Ovis aries: one gene and its partner. The protein of the gene in region 2 purifies or fractionates together with the protein of the main gene of each other region. This does not show direct contact. Links are inferred from orthologs where the notes say so. Each region holds a gene or a part of one and is shown on either strand. Other genes may lie near its edges. The genes, in order: PICK1 and ASIC1.

Evidence for each region.
Region 1: the proteins of ASIC1 (region 2) and PICK1 purify together in Homo sapiens (affinity purification with western blotting; 3 studies listed by BioGRID and IntAct, with this or other methods). This does not show direct contact. The link is inferred for Ovis aries from reciprocal best matches to the Homo sapiens genes ASIC1 and PICK1.

The regions. Positions count from the first base shown.
Region 1 is NC_056056.1:215,664,182-215,679,541, reverse strand, and holds the start of PICK1 (PRKCA-binding protein), read right to left. Parts: upstream 14,635-15,360; 5' UTR 14,594-14,634; exon of another isoform or gene 14,443-14,593; intron 14,289-14,442; 5' UTR 14,232-14,288; coding exon 14,191-14,231; intron 12,822-14,190; coding exon 12,710-12,821; intron 10,493-12,709; exon of another isoform or gene 8,470-10,492; coding exon 8,341-8,469; exon of another isoform or gene 7,366-8,340; intron 6,275-7,365; coding exon 6,208-6,274; intron 5,220-6,207; coding exon 5,130-5,219; intron 4,689-5,129; exon of another isoform or gene 4,495-4,688; intron 3,142-4,494; exon of another isoform or gene 2,667-3,141; coding exon 2,613-2,666; exon of another isoform or gene 2,233-2,612; coding exon 2,170-2,232; exon of another isoform or gene 1,417-2,169; coding exon 1,283-1,416; intron 894-1,282; coding exon 801-893; intron 7-800; coding exon 1-6. UniProt on the Homo sapiens protein: Probable adapter protein that bind to and organize the subcellular localization of a variety of membrane proteins containing some PDZ recognition sequence.
Region 2 is NC_056056.1:136,245,932-136,261,903, reverse strand, and holds the start of ASIC1 (acid-sensing ion channel 1), read left to right. Parts: upstream 1-7,916; 5' UTR 7,917-8,118; intron 8,119-8,979; 5' UTR 8,980-8,994; coding exon 8,995-9,356; intron 9,357-9,958; coding exon 9,959-10,154; intron 10,155-15,972. UniProt on the Homo sapiens protein: Forms voltage-independent, pH-gated trimeric sodium channels that act as postsynaptic excitatory receptors in the nervous system, playing a crucial role in regulating synaptic plasticity, learning, and memory.

The DNA of each region.
Region 1 (15,360 bases), about 79 Mb from region 2:
GTAGGACTGTGGGGCGGGTGAGGCCAGGCTGTCAGGGGGGCTGCACCACCTGGGCGCGCACCCTGATGGCCCCAGTTCCTCCCATGCCCCCCTGGAGCCCTCGGCCACCCAGAGGAGCAGCCGTGCCAGGCCTTGTGGGCCCTGCACACCCTGAGCTGGAAAGAGCTGAGACGTGTGGGGAGAGGCTGGCCCTTGCCCTGGAGGCTCAGGGTGGTGAGGGCACTCATCAGGGACGATGGAAAGGGCCCGAGAGCCCAGCGTTTACACCCAAGTCCCAACAGATGCTCTGGGCTAAAGGATTCAGGATCCAAAGAACTTGAGGAAGCCCCTGAAGACCCACGTTACACATGGGTCTATCGAAGGCTCTGACAAGTCCTGAAGCAAAGGACCTGGGTGGGCCTGCTCAGTGGAGTATTTTTCCTCAACTCCTTTGACCGCAGAATTACCATTTGATCATAAGACTCATGAAAATCCATGTTACAACCAGTGAGCTAGACTGATCCACTGTTAAAGGGTGACTGAAGAAAATTCCCATGGGGTCAGAGTGGGTCCCGAGCAAGGGCGCCACCCACCCCAGATCTCCTCTGAAGAGTCAAGGCAGGGCCTAGGCTGCTGCCTGAGCCCCGAACACCTCCCTAGGGCCCTGGCGCCACGCCCCCAGTCAGGTGTCACCAAGGTCCTGGCCCTGACCCGTTGGCCGTCAAGCGGCCGACTGAAGAGGAACAAACCTCCAGGTGGGCTCTGACCCCAGCAGGCCGGGCCCACACCACCGCCCCCCCAGGAGGCCGGGGCCCACTTACCAGGTACTCGAACTTCACGTCCAGGTACTTCTTGATGGTGAGGCGAGTGTCCGGGATGGCTTTGTTGAGGTACGTGTTCAGGTCTGCCAGCATCTGGAAGGGGAGGTGGGGTGGACGCTCAGGCCCCCTGGGCAAGGGCGGGTGAAGGCTGGAGAGGGCGACAAGGAGTGGCACTGGTGCGTCCACCCTTCTAGTGGACTCAGGTGTCAGAGCCGAGGGGAGATCCCCGACTGCCCTGTCCATTCCGAGGAGGAGACAGCCCAGGCCAAGGGCAAGTTGTAACTCTGGTGGGGCCAGGGCCGGAAACCAGCCTGGAGGTCAGTGCTGAGGTCGTGGAGGAAGAAGGACTCAGCCACGGTCAGCTGTAGCAGCCCACCCCCAAACCAGCCCCTAGGTGCTCCGCCTCCAGAACAAGACACTCCGCTGGCCACACTGCTCCTCCCCGCTCACCTACGGACCCACGCACGCTCCACGTGACCTACCGGCTTGATCGTCTTCAGGAGCCGGATGCCAAACTTCTCGATGCTGCGGTGGGCATCGGCGAACTTCACAAAAGCCTCACTCGCAGCGGGCTGGGGCTCCCGCACCCCGATCACAGAGAACACGTCCCCAAAGGCTGCGTGACAAGTTTGTTCTGAAGGCCGCCCCTACTTGACCCCTTTACTTGACCCCTTAACGGAGAAGCCAGGGATTTGTTGGGGAGAAGCATGGTGGGGGGCGTGGTGGGTCGGAGGTTGAGGTCTGCTGGTGGTCTACATCCCAGGGAGGTGGGTCTAAACCTCAAGAAAGGTGGATCTACACCCCTAAGAGCTGGACCTGTACCCCCAAGGAAGGTGGGTCTACATCCAAGGAGCTGACCTGGTTCCTGAAGTGACCAGACCATGCGAGGAAGACAGGGTCAAAGTGGAGTAGGTGAAACTGTCTGGGAGCAGAGTACTAGTCTAGGAATCTGGTCCTAAGGCCAACCCTGCACCTAAGGAGCTGGGTTACTGCTTCTTCTACCTGGGCTTTGTCTTCCCAGCTGTAAAATGGGATTAACTGAAGCTAACAAACGTGTAGGAAACATGATCGGGAATAAGAAAAGGCCTTGTACATTGTAAGCAGCAGTATAGACAGGACAGAGCCTGCACGGGGATCTTCTGCACCCCACAGAAGCTTAGCTGGTCGAGAGGCTCCCCGCTGGCCCCATCACCATCACACCCCCAAATCTGACATGAGGTCAGATGCTGCAGGGTCTGCTTGAGCTTGGGCAGCAGAAAGGCCCCAGAGAGAAGTTCGCCCTCACCCTCCCCGTGGGGTGTAGGGAGGTGCTGAGCCCAGAGTGCAGGGTTTTTTCCAGGGTCATGTAGCAGGATCAGGGCATCCTTACCCCGGTGCGTCTGTGACAGCTCGTAAAAGGCCCGGAGGAGGTTCTTGGTGTGTTCTGTCATCCCTGTGGGAAAGACCCAAAATGAGAGGGACAGGACCACACGGTGGGGATGACATTGGTCCAGGACACGGCCTCCAAACCCCCACCCCACCCGAGGCCCACACTGTCCTTGAGGTTCAGGCTTTTCTCACTCGGTTTACGTGTGCCGTTCTTTTTTATGGGCACATGTTACTTTTATAATCAGAAAAAGCAGGTCTTTAGATTTTCTTAAGAATTTTTAATGACTACGGTCCTAGAATTGTGTGGCTGGCACCCTGCCCCTCACTGCCATCACGTTTACAGCAGGGCTCCAGAGCTCCACCTCGGGGAGAACCCGGGCCAGGCACTTCTGGTGCAGTACCCCACCCACCCAGGGCTGCTGGCGGGAGGGTGTGCCTGCCCACCTTTATACAGCTCGGCGGTCCGCTCCAGCTCCTCCAGCCTCTTGACGAGCCCATCTGTGGGGATCAGAGAGCCAGGGGTGAGGGGAGAGACCCAGGGATCACTGGAGCCAGGCTTGGGAGAGGCGAGGTGGCCCCCAAAGAACCAGGAACAGAACAGGACAGGGTCCCAGGGATGGGGACTGGGCACCTCAGGGCGGCTGGGCTCGCAGGTGTTTTGTGACGAGCCCACTATACCCAGACAAGGCGGGACAGCAGGGCGACCCTCAGGAGGCTGTGATAAGCACCACCCCAGGAGGCTGGGACATGGTGACAAGGATGCGGGTGCTTCCAGAAGTGAGGAGTGAAAACTGGATTGGGCCCTCCCCAAGGCCATGCCCAAGGGTAGCTGCCCAAGGCCGGTGGAAGGCAAGCCCCTGCCTAGCAGTCAAGGACCTGGCCAGAACTTCCAACACACGCCCTGCCAACGGCTAGGAAGCAAGGCAGTCAGAGACAAGTGGGAGAGACGGGATGCCTGACAGTAACTCTTAAGGTAGGCTCAAGGCAGCCCGCCACCACCTGGCAGCTCAGAAGGGACAGCAATCTGGGAGGGGAGAGAAAGGCAGGAAGGGCTTTGAGGAAGAGCTTGCACTGGAGTGGGCCTTGGCGATCGTCTTCACTGGCTTCACAGGTGTTTATCCTGCACCCACTATGTGCCAGACCCCGTGTTGGGCCAGGGAATGACCTTGGTGAATGAAATCTGAGTGGTGCTTTCCAGGCTCCTGGTCTAGCGGTGATAGTGGCCAGGCCATGGCTGGCAGGGGCAGTAAGGGCTGCCAGGTGAGGGATGGGGGCAGCTGCCTCACCTCCAGGGCTCAAGATAGGAACAAGTGGATGACCAGGGCCGGGGCTGCATTCCAGATCAGGGTGGGGCGGGGCTCCGGCCAGCAGTGATCACCACCCTCCTCCACTCTGATAAGGGTGAGGCCCACACCCACCTCCCCACCAGGAGCACGGGCAGCAAGTGTGGGGCAGGGTCCATGCTGGTGGCTGCCTGGCCCAGGGCCTCCTAAGACAGAGCCTGGCCTCACTGGAGCCCCCCACCCAGCTCAGTCCTTTCTCCACATGAGCTTTTTGGGGCAGATTACTTCCCCCATCTTATAGGGAAAACCAAGGTTCAGACAGGTAAAGCAACTTGCCTAAAGGTGCGCAGCGAGGGCTGTGCAGGCCAGAGTGCCCTCTGCCCCCTCAGTTTCCTGTGCTGACCTGGGCCAGGGTTTTCTGAGTGGGAGGAGAGGAAGGGTTGTAGAAGCCAGGTCTGGATTCTTAAATCTGGGCAGAGAATGCAGTGTGTGTCAGGCTGTCAGGGAGGAGGGTTTGGGTTCTAGGGGTTGGTGGGGCGCTCCTTAGAGGTCTTCAGAGGCTTCAGCCACTGGGCTGGCCTCCAGGCCCCAGCGCCCCAGCACCCTGGCGCCCGGCCAGCCTGGCAGTGAAGGAGCCACGTAAGCGCCGTGCTGTTGTTTTTAGCTGGGTCATGGGACATCATGACAGCTTCAATTTTAGAAACCCTATTTAAGGCTGGGGAAATTGCAAGGTTTGGGGGGGAAAAAACACAACAACCAGTTCTAATTTCATCTCGACGCATGGTAACTACAGTAACAGGGATTTATAGGCACCAAGAAGCTGGAAATAGCAGCCGCCACTTTTGTACACCCTCTGGAACAAGCTCAGACCCCACCCCCGATGTCCCAGCCAATAAAGCCCAGTGCGCCCAGCTGAGCCTACAATTTATATTGGTATTTATATCTGTCCCCACACGTACACAGCAGAGCTGCTGCTATTTATAAACTTGGGCTGGTGACGGCGGGAGCGGGACTGCGTGTTTCACTGGTTCCCCCCACCCCCCGGGGAGAGCGCGTGTGCACACGCATGGGTGGGTGTGAGCGTGTGGGGAGAGAGTTGTGTGTGCACAGGCATGTGTGGGTGTGAATGTGCATGTACTCAGTTTTCCCGCTGCGGGAGGCGAGCACAGCCACCTCCAGGTCTGAGCAGGAATTGCTGGGCAGCAGCACCACCTCCTGGAGAGAGGCGGGGGGCCGGGTAAGCAGCCCGGGAGCAGCCGGGACGTGCTGGGGTGACGAGAGGGCACAGGGTAGAACTGGGGCTGGGGTGGGGGAGGCCTGGCTGTGTGAGAGCACCTGGGGGGCAGTGGCGAAGGCACCAGCTTGGGGAGCTTGGCAGGAGGCACCTGCCCACCAGGAGTCTCTCATCTGTGACTTGGGCCTATCTGTGAACCCCTGCTGGAAAGCGGGGGGACACGGGCTGTAAGAGGCCTTCACTGTGCACTGTGGGTGATCTGTGGGAGCTTGGGGAGGCCTCCAGGGAGGCAGAGAGATGGTGAGTATTGGCCCCACCAGCAGAGGCCTGGCCCAGGCCAGCGGGACACATACAGGTCTGGTGGGCAGCCGTGGCACCCGAGCCCCGGAGGCCTGGGCCTGAGTCCCCTGGGACCAGTGGTGGGGCTGGGAGAAGGGGGCTCACCATTGCACAGGATGGCCCGGCTCAGACCCAGAGCATCTGCCGTCCCCGAGCTCATGTTCTCGACCAGCCGATGCTTCACCTTCTTCAGCACTGGGACCAGGTGAGAAAGGACTCATGAGGTGGAGTCTGGGCCCCCAGGGCCAATCCTGCTCCATCACGACTCACTGGGAGCAACAGCAGGGCCGGAACTGGGGTTTGGGGTGGGGGTGACTATGAAGTAGGGAGGGTCCTGGCGGGGGGTTATGGGCTTTCTGGGCTCCCTGCCCTTTTCACTCTCTACTTGAGAGAGGTGTTGGGAGCCTGGAAACAATAAGTATGTAAGGCACTTAATTGAGGGTCTGGCACTCAAAGTGGCTATCGACTCCCACTGAAGTCCAGAGCTGCCTAGGCCTGACACTGGCCTCTTTCCTTAAAAACCAGAAGGCAACTGTGGCCCAAGGGTGGAGGGAAAGGGTGCTGGGCCCCAGCGCCAAGAGATCTGGGTGGGCTTTCACCTGGGGGCACAGTGCCTCCCTGGGTCCCGGGCTCTGGTGTGCAGTGAGGTGGCTGGTCCAGAGGACCTCGAAGCTCCCATCTGGCTCCTGAGCCTGGAAGCATCTACAGAGCCAAGGCCCAGCCCCCGAGCAGGAGGTAATATGTCCCAGGGCATGCTGTGGGCAGCAGGACTGCCCTCTGCCCCGAACCTGAGGGCCTATCCAGACCCTAAGGCTTTCTGGCAGCAGGTGGGCAGAAGAGGCCAGGGTTGAGTGGGGTGTGCAGGTGGGCAGGCGGTACCAGGCAGGGCTGGGCTGCCCTCCCCTTTCAGAGTGGTGAGGGACTGGGCCTAGTGAGCTGGAGGGCTGCCCTACGGCATGCAGGCACCAGAGCAGGCGGTCGAGGGAGGTAGGGGAGTGAACCATTAGGCAGGGAGAAACCAGAGACGGGTTCCGGGGAGCACCCCTGGGTCCTCCCAGCTGCTTTGGATTGGCTTGGTCGGAGGGTCAGAGGGCACAGCCACGTGACCACTGATGCACTGTCACAAGGAGACAGAACGGGGGCTTGCAGAGCCCCTGGACGCCACTGCCCCGGCACAGCTTACCAATGTCCAGGGACATGCCCTGCTTGGGGTCCGCCTGCAGCTTGTTGTAGTGGATGGTCACCTCCCCCTGGAAGAGGACAGCAGAGCTGTGATGGAGCCCCTGGGCCCCAGCCCCTTCTCTGAGTAGGCCTGTTTGCCCTGGTATCTGTGGTCATCAAAGAATCCTGAGCACGGGGAAAGGGTTCCTCCTCCTCTCTCCACCCACCAGGCCCCAGAAAATCGGCAGGGACAGGGCAGACAGGGTCCCTGGGGTCACAGAGCTCACAGCCGGGCGGTCTGTGACACTGCGTGCCCCTGCCCTCCCCCATGCCACGGCCACAGTGCAGACCTCTGCCAGGCCACTTTCCTGTCCTCTGAGAGGATCTTCTAAACTAGCCCCCTTCTCAGGAGTCCTGCCATTCGCCCCACAAACACGTCCGAGCACTTTCTCTGTGTCAGGTGCTGGGGTGCTGGGGAGCAGGTGAGAGGGTGGCTGCAGCCCCCCAGAGCCCGAGGCCAGCAGGAGAGGCCGATGCAATTCGCGGAATTACACCAATCGCAGTCCAGTGACTGGACGAGAAATAGCCGGCCTCCCTCGAGAAGGCTGCCCTGACCACGTGAGGCCACCGTGGTCAGTCTCATGCTTGAGATCCTAAGACCCTTGAGCTGGGGGCTGAATTCATTCAGATACAAAACAGAATTTTAAAGCTGCATCCTGAAGGGAAACTAGAGTGAACTGAGGCCATGAGTCGGGGGGTGGGAGCGTGCAGAAGGCTGCCTGGCAGGGTGCTCAGGGCCGCCACAGAGCACGGCTGTAGGGGAGGAAGGAGCACCAAGGTGGGACCAGATCTGGGCTCTGCTCCAGCCGTGCGACCACAAGCAGCTCCTTCCCTCCTGCAGGGCACTGGTGAGATGGGTGCCCAGATGTCTGCCAAACGTGGGGGCTGGGGAGTCCCCAGGCAATGGCAAGGCCATGCGCACCTGCCAAGAGCTCCTATTCTCATGGGTAATGTGAGAGGCTGGCGTGAGACAGGCTCGGGAGGACAAGGAGGGTTCTGGTGGGTAGAGACAGGGGAAATGAGAAAAGGGATCCAGAGGGGGGGGGCACACGGACCCCAGCTCCATATCAGAATGAAACATGGCCCACCACCTCCCATGATGCGCTCCTCTGCCCAACAGGAAATGCCCAGGGCAGTAAACTCCACACCAGGCGGAGCAGGAGAGGAGAACAAAGGGGAGAGAGTGGAAGCCGTGGGTCCGGGGCTAAGGTAAGAAGACGGACTGTCAGGGATGCTGGTACCAGGCCTTTAAGACACAGAGGATGGGAGGGAAGTGAGGAGAGGTCTGGCTGGATGGGGTGAGGGAGCCCAAACACTCGACCGAGCTCAGCGGGCAGCCGGATGCTTGACTCTCAGAGCGTTAAATCATCCTGCGGCTTTGCACCTTCACTGTTTTGGTTTTGCAATAGCTGCCAGCAGCAAAAATCTCCAAAAACATGGCAGAAGGGCTGCATGCTTTTGGGCGTGGCAGGAGAGAGGGGCTCTGTAGGGAGAGGACTTGGCCTAGAGCAGGGCGGGGGAAGCAGGAAACAGGCAGTGCAGTCTGGCCTGCTGAACAGGACGCCAGCAGCTGGACACGGAGCTGCCCTGGTGCCCAGAGGGGTCCCCGGGGTGATGTGTGAGACCAGGAGGACCCACAGGACTGCAGGTTCCTGCAGGGAACGGTAGGTGGGGTGCCTTTTTCCCTCTCACACCCTCTTGGGCCCAGCATGGCTCAGAGGACGCTTCCTGGGTATCTACTGACCCGGGCAGGTGCACCATGGACTTCTAGCTTCAGCTCCAGCCCTGACTGGGGACACGCTGGCTCACCCCGAGGTGTGGTTCTGAGTCTGGCAGCTCCCCTGGGAGCTCGAGGGCAGGACCTTTGAGTCGTGGTGCCCACTGTCTCACCAGGGCCCAGCACAAGTCCTGGAGGTAGTCAGCATCTCCCAAATGAACCCGGGGGACACTGGAGGGGCTGGGATGTGACAGATCCCGAGGTGCCGAGGAGGGAGCTAGGTGAGGGCCAGGCCCCCTGCAGGCCCGCCGAGGCCTCGGGCAGGCTGGGGTCTCAAAAGGGCGCGTGTGCCCGCCGCCGCCGCCGCCGCCGCCTTACCTTCACTTCCTGAATCATCTTTGCCACCTCCACCTTAGTCTTCCCTTTGATTGACCTGCCATTGACCCCTGTGATCTCATCGCCAGCTGCCACAGTGCCATCCAGTGCGGCGGGTGTGTTGTCAAACACCTGTGGGTGTGGAAGGGGATGGACGGGAGGAAAGGAAAGCTGGGAAGAAGGCTGGCGCAGGCGGGCATGCCCTCCACCCCAACCAGCACCAGCCCTGTCCTGGTCTCTACTCTGTCCCTTACGTGGCGAGGAGAAGGGCAAGGCGAGAGAACACCCCAACAGCCAGATATGAATGACCCACCTTCTTGGGGGAAAGGGAAGGAGGGCAGGAAGTAAATGTGACTGATAAGACGTCCCTTTTCTGATATCAACTGCACCCAACCTTACACACCCACTGGAGGCTTTGTTCCTCCAAAGTCATTTGTTTAGATTTTCCAACAACGCTGCTCGGAGCTGACTGGGTGCCAGAGCACCACTGATCAATTCCTGCAACCTCACTGCAGTCCCCAAGGAGCAAGGGCCCTCACACACACGAGCCCCTTCTCCCCAAGTGACCCCATCCAGGGGGTTCTGTGCTCACTGGCTCAATGTGGCTGAATGTGTCTGTTAAAAGGACAGAGACAGGGGGAGACACTCAGGATGAGCAGGCGACAAAAGTGTGTGCTGAGTCCCACAGCCCCATAGTCCCTGTGGGGCCCCAAAACACCGGCAGCCAGGCTTACCTGGAGCCTGGAGCCTCAGGAGCCTGGCGGGGGGCCCCACCCCAGGGCCCCCCCCCACCCAACAGCTCCGCAGGAAAGGCCTCTCTCTGTGGGCGCTGGAAGACTGGCTGACGCCCCGCAGCGGAACCCACCAGCTGACTCTGCCACCACACAGAACTGTGAGACCCGTCGTGACTGTGAGGGCTCGCTCTTAGATACAAAGACAGGCGGGGAGTACTGGGCCCTTGAAAAAGTGTCCCATGTGAAAAACACCAAAACATTTAAATAGAAAAAAGAACCACAGGAAACAGGAACAAAACAGGGGCAACCATATGAAAGATTATGAAAATAAATGGAATAATATGAAATATTCTAATATTTATGTAACATGAAATATTTATATAATATAAACATATTTCAGATATATTCATCTTATATAATATGAAAATAAAAAGAAAACTGCAATTAACATCCTCACAGAGACCTGAAAAACAAGAACACGATGATGTAAAAGGATCATTTCGGAAATAGGAAAACACAAAACATAATTGAAATGGAGAATGCCAAAGGAACTTTGGAAACCAAGCAGTGGGAAGCAAAAAAGAGATGGTCAGAAAACAAGAAAAGGAATACTAAAAGATCAATGGAGGAAGCCCAGAGTCTAACCAATAGGAAGCCCAGAGTCTAACCAATAGGAAGCCCAGAGTTTAACCAACAGGAAGCCCAGTGTTTAACCAATAGGAAGCTCAGAGTTTAACCAACAGGAGTCCAAAAGCGAGAACAGAAAGCAGGACAGCATCATGGATAATATGTGAGATGCAGAAGAGAAAGACATGGGGTTTCCAATGAACCTGCCCCTTGAGGTTCCAGCTCGACAGACAGAGAAAGGATCACGCCAAGAGCCGTCGTCACGATGCTTCAGAATGCCAGGGATGAAGAGAAGTGCCCAGGAGTTCTCATGGGCCAACAGTAAAACACGTTACTGCAAATAAAGGCTCACAAGTAAGACTGGCATCACCAGACAGGACAACTATGCTGATGGCAAAAAGACAATGAAATGACACCAGCCAATTTCTAAGTGAAAATTATTTTCAACCTTGATGTTCATTCTTGAATTTGACCCACTCACGTGTCAACTGAAATGAATATGAGAATAACAACCACAAAAAACAGAACGAGACCCTTACGGAGACACAAGTTCTCAAAAAATTGACCGCCCTAGCAGCCTTTCTCGGAAAGCTACAGGAAACATGCTCCACCAACGTGGGGAAGTAAGCCAAGAAAGAGGGATCCTGGAGATGAGGGAATCCAGTCCACTAGAGGAGAGGGAAGGGGTCGTTCAAAGAGGAAAGACCAGCGGTGGAGGACAGAAAGATGATGGGAAATGTTTGCGGTAAATGTACTGAAAACACAAGGAGAATGCAAATGGAAAAAAAAAGAAATTACTTGTTTTAAAAAAAGAAGATTGAGTTAAGAAAAGAATCACAGGCTTTCTCAAAAAATTAAACACAGAGTTAGCATATGACCTAGAAATTCCGCTCCAGATTTATATCCAAAAGAAATGGAAACATATGTCCACACAGAAACTGGACATGAATGTTTATAGCAGTGTTATTCGCAACATCCAAAAGGTACAAACAACACAAATGTCCATGAACAGATGAGTGGGTAAACAAGTGGTGGTCTATCCATCCCGTGGGATGCTCTTCAGCCATGAAAAGAAGGAAGTACTGAAATGGGCTGCAACGTGAATGAACGTCAACGTGACATGATCACTCAAGGGCACGGGTGGTTGTCTGGGTGATGAGACAGTTCTGAAACCAGAGATGGTAGCTGTATTCCATGAGCGCACTAAAATAGCACTGAGTGGTTATACTTTAAAACCACTATTGTATGCTACGTGAATTTCACCATAATAAAAATATTTTTTGAAAAAGTACACAGAAGACCATTAAGCTCGGTACCTAGAATGCACCTTACTGTGCTCTGAGCTCTCTGGGTGAGGTGGAGAGGAGGGCCTCTGTTTTCTTGCTTTAACTCTAGTGTCTGCAAGATACCCTGGCCAGGCCCTGAGGAAATAGTCCCCAAACATGAAACCTATTGCACTGACACAGACTGGATCAAAACTGACAAGGTCACCGTGCTAGGAAGATGGAGTGGGAGGAAACAGTGGTTTGGGAAGAAAGTTAAATTCTTGTCTCCTTGGCTGAGAGAAGCTGATAGATGTTTACAAGGGACAGATCAAGAAGTAACGGGATAAGCATCTTACTGAGAAAAAATGGGACCTCCAACCTGAATCTACAGCTAAAAGGGTGGGAAGCAGTGTTGCTTCTGGGATTGGGTGGAGGCAGGCCTGGGGAGGGGGAAGGGCGGCAAGATGGGGTAGAGCAGGGAATTGCTTATTTGACATTGGCCTTTTAGTACTCTTGACTTGTTAAAAGCAAGTCAGAGAGTCTTTGATTAAAAATAAAACTGAATTTTGAAAAAATCAATTCTACTATTTATAATCACAGTTCACACTAAGGACAAACCTGGCCCTCAGCAGGGGGCGGGGATGGAGGGGAAGGTGGCACAGGAGGCCGAACAGGCAGATTTCGAGGAGGTCAGGCCTGGGGGAGGCCTCCCCAACACCTCCTGGGTCAGAGGAGGCCAAAGGGCTTGTAAAGGCCACATTCTGAGTGGGCAAGACCAGATCCAGGGAATCTCCATCTTCAAGGCCTTAGAAGTGACTCTTTTGCAAGATCCTCAGAGAGACTGATGTTTCTCATCTGCCACCAATGGCTACTTAGCTGAGAAGGTTAGAATAGAGCAGAGTCCAGGTCAAGTTGATGTCTACGGGAGCAAGCTTCCTTCCAAGACTAGAGAGATCACTGACTCTGACCAGCCCCACAGTAAAGGAGGCCAGTCCCCACTTGCGAATCACAGATGACAGAACATCACCAGGACAGCTCCTGTGCGATAAGGACCACAAACTTGTAAAGTGCCGCTGGCAGATCATCTGGGAGAGTGAACGGTCATAAAAATAGTAACAGCTGCCATTGAGGGAGTGCTGCTTAAGGGCCAGAAACTGCGGGATGTCATCGTTGAGTTCATTCTTCACAGCAACCCAAAGATCCTCAGACCTACGCATTTTACATCCCCAATTTCCAGGTAACAAAACTGAGGCCCAGAAAGGTAAACAAGTTAATAAGCAGGGAAGCTTGCATTTAAACTCAGGCCATTCATAGTCTTTTAGGCTTTCTACTATGCTTCACACTTGTGTTAGTACTAAAGGTTGATGGTTTTGTTGATTCATTGGCAACACTGTTACTGAAGGTCCACTATTTGCCAGGCATTGTACGAGATGCTGACTGCAGTGAACAAGCAAACTGGGATCCTGCCTTCATAGTGCAGAGAGTCTGGAAAAGTGGCTAGATACAGAATTAGTGAGCAAATCCATGAGAGTACAGATGGTGGTAACTGCTGAGAAGGAAAAAAAACAGATTGAAATGACAGAAAAACAAGGGCAGACCTACTGAGAGGGGGTATTCAGGGAAGCCCCTCTGAAGAGAATAAAGAGCCAGCTTTACAGAGTGGAGGAATGAACCTTTGTCATGTCCAAGTAGGGAGGTGGCTCGCCCCCTCCAGCACCTCCCTCCTGCCTCCAAAGCACTCAATACCTGAACAATATACAGGCAGGGACAGTACTGGGCTCCTCCTCCAATGCTGATCCCGATCAGGTTCTGAGCATCCTTCTGCAGGGTCACCTTCCCAGGCACAGTAGGGATTCCGCTGGAAAGAGAAGCACGTGCAGTTGAGTGTCCTGGACAAAGAATGACTGGAGGAGATGGGGGTGGAGGCAGGCCCTCCAAAACCCCCAAGAGCCTCCCAGTGCTGCACGTGCTACCGAGGGAAGCTCTTTCTCATTTGGCCGAAAAGACAGCATTTTGTCATTTTGTGCTGGAACACCGCAGAGCTCTTGGATGCATGCTAATGGAGGATTAAACCCCAACTTGGCCATTTATCAGCTGTGTGTCTCGAATAAGCAAGTCACCCTCTCTGCATCTCAGTTTCCTCATTCATAAAATCATTTGATTTTAAAAAATGGCCATTTTAAAAGTACATGGAAGCCACTTAACACCAACTCAGCCAAGAGTAAGTACTCAAAAAAATAGGTCCCTATCCCTGTTCTTCATTCTCCCTCTAAGAGTTGAGTCAGACTATTCTTGTCACCTTCTCAGCTACATAAATCACAGGCCACCACCTCCAGGAAGCCTTCTCCTGTTAACCTATGCATCACACATCTCTCAATTGTTATACTCAATTACCTCTCAATTTTCACCATACATTAGCACTTATTTATGTTTTATGGCAAATACTCTCATTTATTCTCTCCTTCACTCGACAAACATTTGCTAACAACCTGCTGATGTTGAGCACCGTCAGTGCTGAGGACACAGAAAGGCACTGCATTCAGTCCTTGCTCTGAGGGAGGATACATTCTAATAAGGAGACTAACTTAATTTTTGAAAATCTCTCCCACTAATCATTTATGTTGGGAAGGAAGGTATGTTTATGATATTCCTATCCATCCTTCAAAACCTAGCTCAATTCTGTGACAGAAAGAAAGAAAGTGAAGTTGCTCAGTCATGTCCGACTCGTTGCAACCCCATGGACTGTAGCCTGCCAGGCTCCTCTGTCTATGGGATTCTCCAGGCAAGAATACTGGAGTGGGCTGCCATTTCCTTCTCCAATTCTAACAAGAAAACTAACTTAATTTTTAAAAAGTCTGCCCTACTAATCATTTATGCTGGGAAGGAAGGTGTATTTATGAAATTCTTATTCATCCTTCAAAACCTAGCTCAATTGCCACCTCTTCTGTGACGCCTTCCCTGAATACCCTAGCAGAGGCACTGCTCAGCTGGCTGGGTTCTCCTTGTAGCCATGTCATTCTCCATCAGGGCCCTTGTGGCCCTGAATTGCAATTATACTTCAATATGTCCACAGCCTCCTACAGATGGTGAGCTTCTGGAAGGGCAGGATTCACTGCAGCTTCTAAGCTTACGCTGAGAAGCAAGGGTCTGTGGAACTCGAAAGTCCAGGGATTTAGGGGGATCTGGGGTTCCTGCACTCGTGGGACTTGGGGTAACAACATACTCACAGTTTATCCTCCTCGATGTCATAATCCAAGTCTGCAAACATGGTTCCGAGAGTTTCAGTGGGCTGGCTAACTGCCCAGCTCGGCAGGGGAATGGGGAACTGGATCGGGATGAGAAAAGAGGGCAGGGCTTAGGAAACCAAAGTGCCTAAATACCAACCCCAACCCCGGCTATCAGCGAGAGCCAGGCCCTCCTCCTCCCCTCCGGACGATGGGGGATTGTCCCGGGGTGGGGGGTGGGTAAGTGATTCTTACTAGGTACAGAGGGGGACTCCAGGCCAGGGCTGGGGGCTCAGATCCCAGAGCCCGCCCCACGGGTCTCCAGGCCCTCAGAAGCTGCCTCTGTAGCTCACCGGAAGCGTCAGTCCCACAGACGGGTCCGGGCCAGGCTGGCACCTGAACGCACCTGCCGTTCCACCTGTCCGCGGCCGCGACTGTCGCGTCACTTCCGACGGGACGCGGAAGTCCCGCCTTCCTGCCCTGGGTATTTGCCGCGATCCCTGCAAGCAAACCTTCCCTCCCAGCCTCCCAGGGCTCCCAGAACCAGGAAAGAGAATAAGTATTGACGGAAGCTCCCCCTTAGCATGAAAAAGCGGAAACAGAGTAAAGGTCTGGAGAGGCCGACGGCGCTCAACCCCGCCCCTTGCCCTATGGCCGCCGCCATCTTGGTAAGGGCAGGGTTCTTCCCAGCTTCCTTAGCGGGACGCAGGGGACCAAGACGCCTGGCTGGTTGCCGTGGCAACGGCCGCATCCTCAGGCGGGGAGACCTCCAGCGAAATTCAGTGGACTACAAACCTCGACAGGTTCCCTTTGACATTTTCAGCACCCCGTGTTAGGGTGCTGTGACTCCTCAACTAGAATGACTGTCCTGGCTGGAAGGATCCTTCGAGATGCCAATCTAATCTGAGTTTTGCAGGCCAGGAAACTAAGTGCCAGTAAGGGGAAGAGATTTTGTCCAGAGCCTTCTACAGTTGCAATAAGATCCAGATCTCAACCCTGAGACGCCTGCCCCCTAGTCCAGCGCCTTCTAACACCTGCACATCTCTGGTCAGTGGCTCTGCTACGGACAGATTGGATTCCCTTCCTTTCCCTTTACAAACCTCCTTTCTCCAAATGCAAACTAAAAGCACCGGGCCAGATGCTTTCTATGATATTTAGTAAAAGACGCCTCAC
Region 2 (15,972 bases):
CAGCATCAAAGTCTTTTCCAATGAGTCAACTCTTCGCATGAGGTGGCCAAAGTATTGGAGTTTCAGCTTTAGCATCAGTCCTTCCAAAGAAATCCCAGGGCTGATCTCCTTCAGAATGGATTGGTTGGATCTCCTTGCAGTCCAAGGGGCTCTCAAGAGTCTCCTCCAACACCACAGTTCAAAAGCATCAATTCTTTGGCGCTCAGCCTTCTTCACAGTCCAACTCTCACATCCATACATGACCACAGGAAAAACCATAGCCTTGACTAGACGGACCTTAGTCAGCAAAGTAATGTCTCTGCTTTTGAATATGCTGTCTAGGTTGGTCATAACTTTTCTTCCAAGGAGAAAGCGTTTTTTAATTTCATGGCTGCAGTCACCATCTGCAGTGATTTTGGAGCCCCCAAAAATAAAGTCTGACACTGTTTCCACTGTTTCCCCATCTATTTCCCATGAAGTGATGGGACCAGATGCCATGATCTTTATTTTCTGAATGTTGAGCTTTAGGCTAACTTTTTCACTCTCCTCTTTCACTTTCATCAAGAGGCTTTTTAGTTCTCTTCACTTTCTGCCCCAAGGGTGGTGTCATCTGCATATCTGAGATTATTGATATTTCTCCCAGCAATCTTGATTCCAGCTTGTGTTTCTTCCAGTCCAGTGTTTCTCATGATGTACTCTGCATAGAAGTTAAATAAGCAGGGTGACAATATATAGCCTTGACGTAGTCCTTTTCCTATTTGGAACCAGTCTGTTGTTCCATGTCCAATTCTAACTGTTGCCTCCTGACCTGCATATAGGTTTCTCAAGAGGCAGGTCAGGTGGTCTAGTATTCCCATCTCTTTCAGAATTTTCCACAGTTTCTTGTGATCCACACAGTCAAAGGCTTTGGCATAGTCAAGAAAGCAGAAATAGATGTTTTTTTGGAACTCTCTTGCTTTTTCCATGATCCAGCAGATGTTGGCAATTTGATCTCTGGTTCCTCTGCCTTTTCTAAAACCAGCTTGAACATCAGGAAGTTCACAGTTCACGTATTGCTGAAGCCTGGCTTGGAGAATTTTGAGCATTACTTTACTAGCTTGTGAGATGAGGGCAATTATGCGGTAGTTTGAGCATTCTTTGGCATTGCCTTTCTTTGGGATTGGAATGAAGACTGACCTTTTCCAGTCCTGTGGCCACTGCTGAGTTTCCCAAATTTGCTGGCATATTGAGTGCAGCACTTTCACAGCATCATCCTTCAGGACTTGAAACAGCTCAACTGGAATTCCATCACCTCCACTAGCTTTGTTCGTAGTGATGCTTTCCAAGGCCCACTTGACTTCACATTCCAGGATATCTGGCTCTAGATTAGTGATCACACCATCATGATTATCTGGGTCCTGAAGATCTTTTTTGTATCATCACTTCTTCCATATTCTTCCTCTTCCCAAAACGTCATGCCTCCCTCCCTGCCATTAGGGCCAATCCCAACTTCTACCCATCCTTCAAAACCTGTCTCAAATGCTACCTCCCACAAGACACGTTCCTGCTTACCATCAACTCCCTCCATGGAGCACTTCATTAGTAGCTCTTTCCTGGCAAACAGCACATTCAGTCTCCTGCATCAGAGCCAAGACTCACTTCTAATTCATCTCGGGGAACACAGATCTACCCTGCCCCGGGCCTGGTATATAATAGGTGCTCAGCTAACAGGCGGTGGCTTCCTCTAGCTCTGGGTGGTTTTGTCAGCTAAGCAGAAGCAGCAGGGGCCAGCAGGCTCCCCAGGCCAGTGTCCCTCTGCTTGCTGGCCTCCCTGGACCACAAGAGCACAGGAAACAGCGGCCAGGCCTGCAGGGGCACTTGGAAAGATGGCCGGCACAAGGGGAGCTGTATCTGCTTAGCTCATCAGTGATTCCCCAGAGTTCAGCCCCTCAACATTTTTTTAGACTCCTCTGTGCCAGGCCTTGTGGGGCAGACAGCAAGACCACTGCCACTTCCTGAAGAGGTACGCCCTTGTGCCCCAAGCTCCGGTGTGTCCACATACACGTGCCCCTGTGTGCACCCTACTCAGCCTGAGTCCCTCTCGCGACAAAGCGAGTGTCGTTGGCAAGCCCAGGCTGAGGGCCGGCTTTCCCCCAGTTTCCAAACAACTCCCCTGTCCGTGCCAGCGCCCACCGTCTGCTTGCCCTGCGTCTCCTCCTCCCTCTGTTGGGGCTGCCGCTGATGATGAAATTTGGCTTGCAACACCCTCTTCCTCCCTTTCCTGCAGGCCTGGGAGAGGATTAAGCCGCTGGAGTCTGAAATCGGAAAGATCCCAGCTTCTGCTCCCCAGCACCTCCCCACGCCCCCTCCCCTCCCCGCCCATGCAAAACCAGAAAATTAATCTCCCCTTCTGCCTGTGATATGGCGGGCTGCATTACAAGCTGGGCGTCGAGATAAAGCGAGGAGCCGCGGGACGGCGGCCCAGCACTGGGGCCCCGGGTGGGGCCGGCCTGGGAGATAAGGGCCTCCCAGCCCCATGAATTATTCACCCGCACTGCCTCCTCTGGCTCAGAGGCCGCCCAGGGCGCTGAGATTGCACCTTCCAGAGAGGCCTAGTGAAGGTGGGAGGAGGGTCCATGGGGAAGGTGTGGGCTGTAGAGGGGTCCCCAGTGGGAGCAAGAGGGGAGGACTGTCTTCAGCTGGGGAACAGCTCAGAGACACAAGCTCCTTGCAGGGCCAACTGATGCAGAGGAAGGAAAGTGTCCCCAGCCTAGGGGACCCCAGATCCAGCCATGACCCCCAGGCTGCACTATTGAGCAGCTGCTAGGGCCAGGATCGGCCTAGGTGCTTGTCGTCTAGAGCTGGAGATCCAGACCACCCTACACCAAGGTGCCCAGGACCCCATACACCTACTGATGCGGGCAGAGCACAGGCCACCCTCCCCTCCTCCGGAGGTCAAAGTAGCCACTGCCCACTCTGGGGGGACACCCTGCCTTGGGAAGGTGTTGTCAGGGGAGGACAGAGGACAGACCTACTCCCAGAGCAATCAGAGCCCACAAAACAGAGACTAGAGCAGCTGGAGCAGGAGGAAACTGGAGGTCAGGCTGCCAGCATGCTAAGCTGCTCAGTCGTGTCCGACTCTCAGCAACCCTGTGGACTGGAGCCCGTCAGGCTCCTCTGTCCACAGGATTATCCAGGCCATTTCCTCCTTTAGGGGATCTTTCCTGCGGGATTGATGCGGGATTGAACCTGCATTTCTTACGTCTCCGGCATTGGCAGGCCGATTCTTTACCACTAGCACCACCTGGGAAGCCAAGGAGGCCAGGGTTGGGTAAGGGATTAACCAGGGAAGTTTTCTGGAAAAAGAAAAGCTCCAGGTCCTTTTCAGATCTTTGTTTCTCCTTTGTTCACTCCTCTCAAAGACCTAGAATTTTAAAGCAGTGAGGGACCTTAGTGGTCTCTTCCTTATTTCCAAGTCTCCATTGCTCCATCTCTAATTACCCTCTCTCTGTCTCAGTCTCTCTCCTCCACCTCCCTCCCCACATCTGCCCTTTCAATCTGCCTTGGCCCCAGTTTCTCCTCCTCTCTCTTGCTCTCTGCCTTTCTCTGTCTTCTTATGTTTCCTCTTTAATCATCCCTTCCTTCTGAAGCTGTGACCCGCCCCCACCAAATGACAGGATGACACACAATTTGGGACTTGTGATGGGAGAAAGGTGGCCCCCAGGGAGGAAAAGAGGAAAAAGAGGGGTCCAATGTGATCCTGGAAGTGCAGATGAACCGCTAAGACGCCGGGGAGACAGCAGGGGCAGTATGGGGAGCCTCCCAAAGGTGTCCTGGTACAGGAAAGAGACTGAGTTACCTAGAGTGCCAGGAAAGAGAGGAGCTGGGAGCAGGTGAGGGTCAGAGGAGACTCCTTCCAGGCTGCAGTGCTGGGGGCCCCACCCGGGAAGCACCCTTGAACCCACTGATCCCTGTAGCAGATACGGTGCCCAGTGAACACGGCTCTGTGTTTTGAGACCCTCACTCATGTTGGAGGGGGAGGGGTGATGTGCAGAGAAGGGGAAGAGCAGAGAGCGAAGAGGGACCAGATTGAGAGGTGAACACGGAAAGGAGAAAAGGGTGAGCCCCGCAAAGATGGAGAAAGCAGTGATTTGGGTGGGAGACAGAGGAACATTTAAGTGGGGCAGCGGAGAGATTAGAGAGAGGAATGAGGAAGAGAGAAGACAGGACAGGATTGGGGGAGGGGTGGTAAGCAGGGAGGAGTGAAGGGCAAGGGTAGCAGAGAAATAAGGGAAGAGGTAAAAGGAGCATTTGGACCAGAAAAGAGAATGAAGTGGGAGATAATGAAGGTCAAGAGACAAAGTGGAGTCTGCAGGGGTAGAGGAGAGGTGTCTTGATGGGGCTTGTCTGCCTCAGGTCCACAGCCCCTTCCCACTGTCTGCTAATTAACTCCTTAATTGTCGCCACATTTGCTGAGCTGGCAGATGAAGTGATTGCAGACAGATTGGGGTGTGTGTGATTTCACGCACTGGGGAGCGGAGAAGAGCTGCTGGGAGTCCCAGGGGGCCTTACCCTCCCCCCTTCTTCTCCCTGTCTCCGAGAGCTGGAGGGCGCTTCTGCACCTAGAGCAGATGGGGCCATCTGCAAGGGAAGTGTCCGTGGGGAATTTGCCCCATCAACCTCTCAGGGATGAAAATAATACTTGCTGCTGTTGATGGAACACCTACTGTTTACCAGGCAGACATTTTTTTTTTCATCCCTGTGGGCATTAGCCAGATTTTATGGTTTGTGGAGAAAAGGAGTCTCAGATGAGTTAAGGAACTTGTCCAGGATCACACAGCACTGGTGTGACTGAGGTGGGATTTGAATTCAGGTCAGTATGATGCCAAAGCCCAGGGTGGGTCCTAGCCAGATGCCTTGTGCAGAGGAGAGAGGGATACCTACAGGCCTATTTCTCTCTCAGCCCCAGAAGAGAAAGGCTGCCGAGGTGAAGGGACTGCAGGTGCCAGAGAGGAGGAAAGTGTGGACAAGAAAGTGGGAGGAAGCTAAAGGAGCTAGGATCTGTCAAGGCCTGAATAAGAGGGAGGTGGGCCCAGAGAAAGAGAAAGAAGAAGCGTGACACTAATCACAGTGCTTGGATCCCTCACATGTCATCTTACCAAAGCCAGCTTCCCTTTCCTCTCATCCCTGCACCACAAGCCCCTGTCAGTAGGACTTGCCCTCCTACCACTTGATGCTGGTCCATCCTTCAATTTCACTCCTGGTTTTTGCTAGACTGGAGTCAGTTGTCAGCGTGTTCATCTCTCCTTTGACACTGAGAGAATTTGGCCCATGACTCCAGGGCCAGTCCTGGGGCTGGACACAAGAAAAGCCACAGTGGAAGTTTGCCAAAATGTACAAGGATCCCTCTCACCTCAAATGAAGAGGAAACAATAGCCGGAGTCTGATATACAGGAATAAATAACCAAAGTTTTGATCCAGACCTGTGGATTCTGAAGATCTAGATTTCTCAAGACTGACTGGTATATATCACAGATCTTGAGAAGTTGGGAAATCTGGACCCCACCTCCAGAGATTCTGATTTAATTGGTCTAAAGCGGGGCCACGGCAGCAGCATTTGAAAAAGCTACCCAGGTGACTCAAATGTGCAGCCTGGGCTGAGAACCACTGTCAGATTCTACCCTGATGTGGCTGCACTGGTGGTTTTATTACTGGATTCAAACAGTAATGCTAATAATAAGTTATTACTTATTGAAGATTTCCTGAGTACAAGCTAATGTGCTGAGCTGTTTCTATGCATTAGTTCATGTAATTCTCAGAATCTCCTGTGAAATAAATATTATCCCCGTCTTACAGATGAGGAAACTGAGCTCAGAAGACCTGCTCATTCTACTGAATGGCGGAGCCAGGTCTGGGACGTGAGATTGCCCGAGTCACACTCTTACTTCCCCCCAGACTCCTCCTGAGGCTGCTCCTTGGCCTCAATCAGTCCTTGCCTGCCTCCACCTCACCTCATCACCACCCCCGCTGCTCCCTCAGTAACATCCCAGGTGACTGAAGCAATTTGCAGCCATTTGAAGAAGCTCCATGTGTCACTCAGCCTGCGAGGGTGGGGAGCTAGGGGAATTACAGATGCTTCAAAATGGCCCACCCCTCCTCCTGAAGTCATTTGGAATTCAGGAATCAGACTCTGCCCAAGATTTCCTCAGATCCCTGCTTGGGACCCTCCCAGGCTGAAATCCCATTCCCAAATGCCCCCCTTCGTGGATTCTAAGTATCTGGGAGGGTGCTGCCACCCAGTGGCTGCCCGGACACATGGCGACTCTTTGGAACAGCCTGGTGCTGCTGGACAGCTCCCCAATCCAAGAGGAGAATCTAAGATCCTCCCTTCCTCTTGGTAGCACCTTGACCAAGAATCTAGTCATTGGATCCCAGTCTCCCACCTCCGCAGCCCTAAGCCTACACTCCCTCTTGGGATCTCCAGCTCCCTTCCCTGTAGTTCCATGTGCCCCCTGCCCCCAACCCCTCACAACTTCTCATCCAACTTTTTTTCTCCGTGCCAGCCCCTCCTCATTATATGCTCTGGTTCTGACTTAAAGCCCTGGGAACACACCTCTCACCTCCCTCTCCCAGAGCTGCACCAGCCCACAAGTGGAATGAAGGAGGGGCTAGAGATAGAATTCTTGTCCCCACACTCCCCTCCTCATCATCTGACACCATCAGACCTCAACAGCCTTCGTGCTAAGAGCCCCTAATGAGCATTAGCAAATTAACAACTTCCCTTTGATTGCTCTTACTCTGTTAATTGGATAGGGAGGGCCCCCCAAGGCCTCTTAAAGAGGAGAAGGGAGGAAGAGGAGAGAGGTGAGAGCTACAGGAGAAGACCCCCCCCCCCCCACAGGCCTGGTCTTAGTGGCTCAGAATTTAGCTCCAAACCTGAGTACAGCTTCCCCTTCCATCCCTTCCTCTCCTGTCCACCTCCCCCAACCCCCAACCTCCCACCTCTCCCCATTCCCTTCTCTTTCCCTGTTTCTTGACTTCTGTCCAAATTCCCTTGACCTCTGGCTATTTCCCGTTCCTTCTCTGCTTCTTCTTTAGAGGTCTGGCAATGAGAAGCTGCAAACCTGCCGCCGCCTCCCACCCCCAAGGCAAGGCCAGGGTTACCAGGATGGGGTTTCTGAGGCCAAGGCTCTGTGTTTGTTTATATATGTACATGTGTGTACGTGTCACTTGTAGGTGGGGAGCCAGGATAAGAGCAGGTGAATACTTGTAAGCTCATGAGTTCCTGCTCTGTGGGCCAGGCCTCTGGGGTGTGTGGGTGTCTGTGGGGGGTGCATGTAGGTAGCTGTGAGTGGCGTAATGTGACTCTGGTCTGTATATGTGTCTATGTCTCCGCACGGGCAAGCGCTTGAATCAGTCAAGTGTGACTCGGAGCTTGTGTGTGTGTGTGTACGCGCGCGCGCACACGCGCTTGTGTGCCACCAGAGGAAGCAGCAGTAAGAGGCAGGAGCATCGATCCGAAGGAGACGGCGCGGGGAGGGGGACGCTGGGGGCAGACACCTTCCCTCCCGTGCGCGCGCGCGCGCGCGCGCACTCACACACACACACACACACACACACACACACACCACAGTCAGACACAAGCCACAGGGCCTCGCAAGCAGGGAGACGGCTCCGGGACCCGAGGGAGGCAGCGCCGCCGAGCGCGGCCAGGAGGAGGGGGCGAGGCAGCGGAGGGAACCCTCGATCCCGTTCCCCGGTCCGGGGTCCCCGCGCGCACACCGGCCCAGAGACACCCTCGCAGACACTCGTAGGCGCGCACGCGCACCCTCTCCCCTCCCCCGCCGCCTCCCCTCCCGCCGCCTCCCGGCCGGACGATGGATCCCTGCAGATCCCGGGGCTGAGAGCACCGCGCACCGCGCCGAGCCCGGGCGGACCGAGCCGAGGCGAGCGAGGGAGCGCGCGCGGCGGGCGGGCAGACGGAGCCGAGCCGAGCCGGGCCGGGCGGGCCGCTCCCTGCAGGGCTCTGCGCGGCGTGCCGCGGCGGCCGCCGGCTCCCGCTCCGGGCCATGAGCCCCTCCGCGGCTCGGCGCTGAGCCCGCGTCCGGCCCCGCGCCCCAGGACCCGCCGCCGGTTGCCGGGTTCCCGAAGCCCCCTCAGGTGGGTCTCCGATTCCCCCGCCTTTGGCTGCGGGACTCCCCAGCGTCCGGAAGCCGGGACTTTCCTCCCTTGTCGCTTTCCCCAGCTTCTGGGGCGCCTCAGTGGCTGGGGAGGGGGGCGGGGGCCGAGCAGGGCATCTGGCTGCGTCGAGAAGCTAGACTGGGGTGGGGGGGTTTGCGTCCGGGGCGGGGACAGCTCGTTGTCATAGGGAACCGCCCCCCCCATTTTTGTGCAGCCACCTCGGGCTGCCCTCTACCCCCCACCCCCCACCCCAAACATGCACACAGACAGCCTGTGCCGTTCTGAGAACTGGAGACGCCTGCAGGTGTGGACACAGGCTGGGCCCCTCTCTGCCTCCCTGGGGGTTTCTGACCCAGGTTTAGCTCGTGGGGTCGAGGGCGGGGATGAAAACCCAGTCCTGGGGACACCCTTGACCAGGAACTCCTGAGGCCGGGTTCAGCCCATTTGGGGGAGTTTCTGTCTCCAGGATGGGGTGGACATTCCTGTCCCAGAGTGACCCCACATCTGGAGGAAACTCCTGTGCCTGCCTGTGGGAATATGGGGACTTCCCTCTCGTCCTCGGATGACCACATCTGGGGTCACCCCTGGCCCAGGAGGCTTCCCTGGGAGGGCATTCTTTTGGCCTAAACTGACCCCCAAGTCCCTGCATTGGCAGGAACCCTCTTCTGGGAGGGTGTCCACGGGGCAGCCACCTTTGGGCTTGCCCACCAGAGAAGTCTTCTGCCCCCAGAGGCAGTGACCTCTGGAGGGGGGAACTCACCCAGATGGACCCAATTGAAGGGACGCCACGTGTACTCTCAACCCAGGGCAGTGACTGACTCCCCACCCCTCTCCCCCCAGATCCCCTCGGCCAGGATGGAACTGAAGGCTGAGGAGGAGGAGGTGGGTGGCCTCCAGCCGGTGAGCATCCAGGCCTTCGCCAGCAGCTCCACCCTGCACGGCCTGGCCCACATCTTCTCCTACGAGCGGCTGTCTCTGAAGCGGGCGCTCTGGGCCCTCTGCTTCCTGGGCTCCTTGGCTGTGCTGCTGTGTGTGTGCACCGAGCGTGTGCAGTACTACTTCCACTACCACCACGTCACCAAGCTCGACGAGGTGGCTGCCTCCCAGCTCACCTTCCCTGCCGTCACGCTGTGCAACCTCAACGAGTTCCGCTTTAGCCAAGTCTCCAAGAATGACCTGTACCACGCCGGGGAGCTGCTGGCCCTGCTCAACAACAGGTGGGGGGCTCCTACCCATCCCCACTCCCAGACACCCCATCAGGGTGCTTGTTCTCTAGCCTGCCATACAGCCTAGACAACCCTGCCCTCCAGCCCCCGAAACCTGCCACTCGCAGCAAAGGAATTGGGGTACTGCCAAGCACCCAGTTAAGGGCAACCAATCTCTGATCCCAGCGTGGTTCAAAACAGCTCTGCCCTTATCCAGCCTGAGCTGTGTGACATGGTCACACTCTCTGGAGGGACCTCTGCCCACCCTCTTGCTACTACGTCTCAATTTTCTCCTCTCTTGGGAGATCTGGGCATACTGTCTTTAAAGGGTAGAAACCATGGTATGAAAGCCATAGTGCCTGCCTTGAGCTCTCTGCCCACCCACCCTTACCCCTGTGCTCAGATGCCCGACCCCTGGGCAGCCAGTGCAGATCCTCTGTCTTCTCAGATCCCAGGGGGCAGATCCTCTAGACACGCCCAGCTCTTCTTTTGGGCCTCTGCCCAGGGCTGGATGCCACCCTTCCCCCAAAGTTGGGCATGGGACACTGGAGGCAGAATGGAGGCAGGAACTGAAGATCCTGCCAACCCATGCACTGCTCACCCCTGGGCTCCAGGTATGAGATACCAGACACGCAGATGGCAGATGAAAAGCAGCTGGAGATACTGCAGGACAAGGCCAACTTTCGCAGCTTCAAGCCCAAGCCCTTCAACATGCGCGAGTTTTATGACCGCGCAGGGCACGACATCCGAGACATGCTGCTTTCCTGCCACTTCCGGGGGGAGGTCTGCAGCGCTGAGGACTTCAAGGTGGTGAGTGAGTCCCCTGGCTGGCAGGGCGTGAGTCAGCCGGACCCCTGAGGAAGAGGAGACTAGGAGCCAGAGGGCCTCTGGGGAGGATGTTGTATGTTCCTAGGGTTCACTGCTGGCAGAAGGGGGACTTTGTTTAGTTCAGGGGGGCATTTGCTGTTAGTGAAGGCCTCGGCCTTGTGTCTGTGATGGCAGGAAAGAGAGCCTACAGTGCATAGATGTGTGTGTATGTGTGCATGTGTGTGTGCACACACAGCCTAGCAAAGCCCCCCACCCCATCAAGCTTACCTTCTGGGCCACAGGTGTCAGAGCTTGGGGTGGCAGTGGGTAAGCTGCAGCCTTGTTACTCAAAAGGAGGTCCAAGGACCACCACCTGGGAGCTTGAACAAAAGGTAGAACTTTGCCACCCCATTTCTCAGCCCTACTGAGTCATAATCTGCAGCTTAACAAAATCCTCAGGTGGTTTGAGTTAAAGTCTGAGCTGCAGCATGAAACATGGCAAGTAAGGGAAGCTTTCTCTTAAAAAATTGGACAGGTAATTCCCTCTGTGCCACCCCTGCCCCTGGCCACACAGACACACACAGACACACAGACACACACAGTGTCTGGTTGGGTTCCCCCCTGGCCACACACACACACACACACACAGTGTCTGGTTGGGTTCCCCCCTTGCCAGCACACACACACACACACACACACACACACACACACACACACACACACACAGTGTCTAGTTGGGTTCCCCCCTTGCCAGCCCATAGTCAGGGTCTGAGGAAGAAGAGATGATTTGGGGCTCATAGCATGGCTGAACTGGAGATTCCCTTTGCTTCTTGAAGTAGAGATGCCCCACAAATACTCATACCCCCCGCCCACCACCACAGATGGGCCTGACTGGCATCTCATGTGACAGGTGATTATGAGCAAGTCATACGGGTTGCTGGAGGGTTAAAGTCAGGCAGAGTGTGGAAAGGGACCAGAGGAACTGGAGCCATGTGTGAAGAAGAGTACCAAATGTGAGGATGATGCCTGGAACTCTTCTGAATACTCTCTAGGCTCTCCTTCAATCCCCTGGATGAATAGTCATATTTATCTCTATTGAACGAGTGCATAAGCTGAGACAGAGAGGTAGAATGAGTTACCCAGCTCACAGAGCTGGTTAGTGAGAGACTCAGGATTAGAACTCATGTCTTATTCAGTCCTAACGCAGTGTGCTCTTTGCATTAATATTGCTGACCCTGGAGTTACCATGTTCACTTCCAATTCTGGCCATTGCTCTTGAAAGCCCAGTCTCCTTAGGACTCTTTTTCTCTCTATGTGCGTGTGTGTGAGCTGCTCAGTCGTGTCCGACTCTTTGCGACCCCACGGACTGTAGCCCCGCCAGGCTCCTCTGTCCCTGGGATTTCCCAGGCAAGTGGGTTGCCAGTCCCTTCTCCAATTTTCTCTCCATACCTGCCCCTAGTTCTCCACTCTCAGATCCTCCCCCTTTGCTCCCTGCCCATTTTCTCCCACACTTGATTGCTTCCTCCCTAGCATTAGGGGAGCATGAACTGCATTTGTGTAGAAAGGTTAGAACCATGGTCATGCTTGTTTTTTCCTCTGAAGTTATACAAGACTTCCCAATCTCTTTAAGCCTTGCTCTGAGACCAGTTTCACGGGCCTTTGTCAATCCTGCTGGACAAAGCTTACATGACCACAGTCCTTGCTGAGCCAAGCTCATAGGGAGCTTAGTGTGAGGCAAGAACCATTTCCTTCCCACTTTTTCTTCCTCAGAGCAGGTGAGTGCTAGATTCCCCAGAGCCCAAGACCAGAGGGCTCCCAGACTCACCAACTGTATTTCCAAGGGTAGTAGAACTATAGATGAAGGCTGAAATGAAAGCCAGAGCCCTCCTCCTCTGCAGCGTATTTCACACAAGCAAAAGGGACCATCAAGAAAGACAGAGGGATGACCCTGGGGGATGGGATGGGGAGGGAGGCGGGAGGGGGGTTCTGGATGGGGAACACATGTGTGCCGTGGCTGATTCATGTCGATGTATGGCAAAAACCACTACAATATTGTAAAATAATTAGCTTCCAATTAAATAATTTTTTTTAAAAAAGAGGGGATTTCTCTAGTGGTCCGGTGGTTAGGACTCTACGCTTCCACTGTGGGGAGGGGTGCAGGTTCGATCCCTGGTTGGGAAACTAAGATACCACATGCCACGCAGCCAGAACAATTTGAAAAAAAAAAAAGAAAGAAAACCCATTAGATCGAATGGTTTGTAGTGTTTGGATAAGGACAGGAATTTGTTGGCTCGACCTGGGAAGGTGCTAAGGCAAAAAGTGGGGTTACCATTAGTTCATAGAAAGTGTACAGTTGAGGCTTCATTCGTCCTTTATGTCCAGGAAGATTCCAAGTGGTGATGCTAACATATATTTGGTTCATGGAAATTGAGATACTGAAATGTGATCGGTCCATGTTGTCTGAAGGGACAACCCTACACAATTAGATGGAGAGATGATTGGTCCACAGAGTTCCAGAGCAATGAGAATTCTTCTTCTTGCTGGGGAGAGATACCTGGCTAGAATCCCACAGCCCCAACACTGGCACTTCTTGGTCCTGGGTTGTCGGGGAAGATTAGGTTTTTGCTGTTTCTAAGCCCATGTGGAAGACCTGACCCTGAATCTAGCTGGATCCAAACTTCTCAGATCTTCCTTCTACCCTCTCAGGTTGCCCTCACTGCAGTCCCTTTCTACTCTGCCCAAAGGGATGTCCCTGCACATGGGAGTCTGGCTGACATCTCCCTGGTGGAGAAGGGTGCTGGCATTCTCCAGCTCTCTGGCCCTAAGGGGCACAAACACTCATGCGTGATACTCCACCTTCATCCTCCTTAATTAACACCTGCCTCTCCATCCTTGCTAGTCTCTGCTAGGCCAAGAGGCGTGTACCCAGCCCCTGGACAGATGAAGCACTGACAGAAAACATCTGTCTGTCAGATCAGAGCTTAGGGAGACCATCCTGGCGTCTTTTGTTCCCGTGAGAGTAGAGGTTCTTAACCAGGCATCCAGTGCCAGCTCAATGGGTTTGCAAAATAGAGCATGTGTGGACACATGTGAACTCTTCCACAGGTTCCGGGACAACCTTCATCCAAAAACAGGACCCCTGAATCTGGAGGATGGTGCAGGGGGCATAGGAAGGGCATCCTGTGGTCCACCAGCTCCCCCGGTGGGGTCTACCGTCACAAGCGTTCTCCCCAGATCTGCTTCTGAATCCTGCTCAACCTCGGGGATGACCTGGTGGTCGAAGAAGTGGCTTGGCCAGGTCCATCCCCCAGTGGTGGCAGAGTCAGCTCAGGAGAGTGAGGGGAACCTGGGCTAAATCTGGGAGAAGCTGGTTTGGAAACCTTTGGGGACTGAAAAGGCAGAGGGCCATGGGGAAGAGCTCCCCACAGCAGCCCAGTTGGGTTGACCTCAATAGCTTTCTCCTGAGCTACCAGAGACCCACAGGCCCCATCTTTCCTGGCCTCCTCTTCTCCTTCTTGATGGGGTGTTTGGTTGCCAGGGCAACAGGGTCTGAGACTCCACTCACCCACCCCACTTTGAGGCCAGCCAGGGCAAGGCAGGGCAGGGGTTCCATGGAGGAGGCTGGGGGGCGCAGCTGTCTGCTGGTGTCTGGGTGGGGGCCAGGGGGGAGCGAGCGCAGTCGCAGCTGGTGCCAGCCTCCAGCTGCACCTTATCTGTCCCTGGCAGTGGGAGCGCCGATGTGGCTGGAATGCTGAACAGTTCCAAGGGGAGGGGGCTGGCAGATGGTGGCCTAGTGTGCCCTATGCCACCCCCCTTCTCCAGCTGAGACCCAGAGCCTTCGCCTGGGGGAGAGAGAAGTGGGAATTCATCTCTGAACCCTGCGAGAGATGGAAGGGAGGGGCAGAGAATGGAAATCCCGGGGTGGGTGTGCAGGGGGATAGTCTTCTTTCAGGAGGGGGTGGACTTGGGGACAAGGGATAGGGGACAAGAATCCCTGGGGGACCCTGGAGTGGTGGCAGAAGCCTCTCAGAGGAGAGGTGCAGTGAGGAGGTAGACAAATAAATCCCCTCAAGGCTCTGGACCTGGACAGGGAGCTTCTGGAGCACCTAGGGGAGGTGAGATGCCGATAGAGGGGGCGATCCTGGGACCCAGAAGCGAGCAGAACCAGGCATGGTCGGTCCCAGGGAGAGCCAGGACTAGCAATAAGAGCTTCCTTATCTCCAGGGCTGGCTCTGCCAGTTCACTGACACCCCTCACTCCACACGACCCCACAGCAGCTCAGACCTTGGATCCCTGGGGAGGGCCTGACCTCACTCCCGGGGTCTGTTCTCTCCAGCTGGGCAGGGAGTGGAGGGGGTGCTGGTGGGGCGCTGCTCAGACTGCTGCTCTCAGAGGAAGGAGGTTCACTGGGCTACCGTGTCCAGAAGCCTGGTGGTCTTTGTCTGTCGGGGGAAGGGGGTGCGGATGGGGGAGCATGCAGGGATTCCGGAGGGACAGGAGGAGCTGGCGGGCAGAGATTAGGTTTGGGGAAGGGGCACCCCGCCCTCAGGCATTCTTGGGTACTTCCATCTCTCCCTCCCACTCTCAGAAGTGTCTGAGGTTAGAGGGGAGGTGACTGAATAGAGCCCATTGCAAGAATCCAGGGGACCCTGCATTGAGGTCTCTCTCATAACACACGACACATACACACACACGAATCCAGGGGACCCTGTATTGAGGTCTCTCTCATAACACACACCCACACACACCCCCTTGGGTGACTCAGTTTCCTCTCTCACTTCCTCCCTCTCCTCCTCCCCCATACCTTGCTGTTTCTGACTCCACCCCTCTCCCAGACTGCTGTCAGCTAAGGGGTTACTCTAAGTTAATTGATCTCGGCTGTTGGCTAAAGTAATAGGGAGTTGATGTAAGTAAGTGCCACTGGGGGCAGAGCCGGAAATGGAGGGGTGCGGAGGAGCCGCTTCCAAGCCTTGGGCTTTCTTCTGCCCCAGCCAGCGGAGCACTACCTCTAAGGTGGGGCCGCCTTGGCACCTGGTGTGCATCCAGGAAGCAAAGGGGAGGCCTGCTGAGAGGTCTGAATGTCTCTGCTGGCAAACTCTGGAGGTGGCTCGGAGCATGCTTCAACTTTGTTGAAGGCAAACTGAATTCCTGGGGATGGTGAGGGAGACTGGATGTTAGGCACGAGTGCTGGGGTTGGGAGAGTCAAGCTTCGCTGAATTCCTTCCTGTGACCCTCTGAGGACCTTAGAAGTGCCAAGCCCCGTGCTGGGCACCAGGGGGCAGTGGTGAGCAGGCCGACGGTGTCCCTGCCCTCAGGGAGCTTAGAGCCATGTGCTGTAACCCCAGGAGGCACAGAGGGCAGGGGTGGCGCTAAGGGAAGCCTAAGGGTTTCAGAGCAGAAAATCACGTGCCAGGCATGAGAGGTCCCTCATCATCTGGGTGGAGTCCTTCCAATCTCCCCAGCCCAGCTCAGCTATTCCGAATCTCCAGTTCTACAGAAAGTATGGTGTCTCCCCACCCCAGCCTCCTCCCGCTGACGACCAGTCTAGTTCTTGTCTGTGGTCAGGCTCCGGAGGCAGGAGCTGTCCCTCACTGTTCATCTGAAGTGGCTCTGAGAGTCTGTACCCTCCGCTGAGAACCTTGGGATCAGAATTCTGGCGAGGGGTTCTGGGAGGCAAAGCAGGGAAGGAGACAGCTCGCAGGAGAAGGGTGTCTGGTTTGGGTGGAGGGTGCAGCTGGGCACTGGCGCTCCTGGGATCTCTTTTGGGCATAGTTTCATCTGGCTCCATTTCTCAATTTCCTCTGAGCCAAGGGGGCTCTGA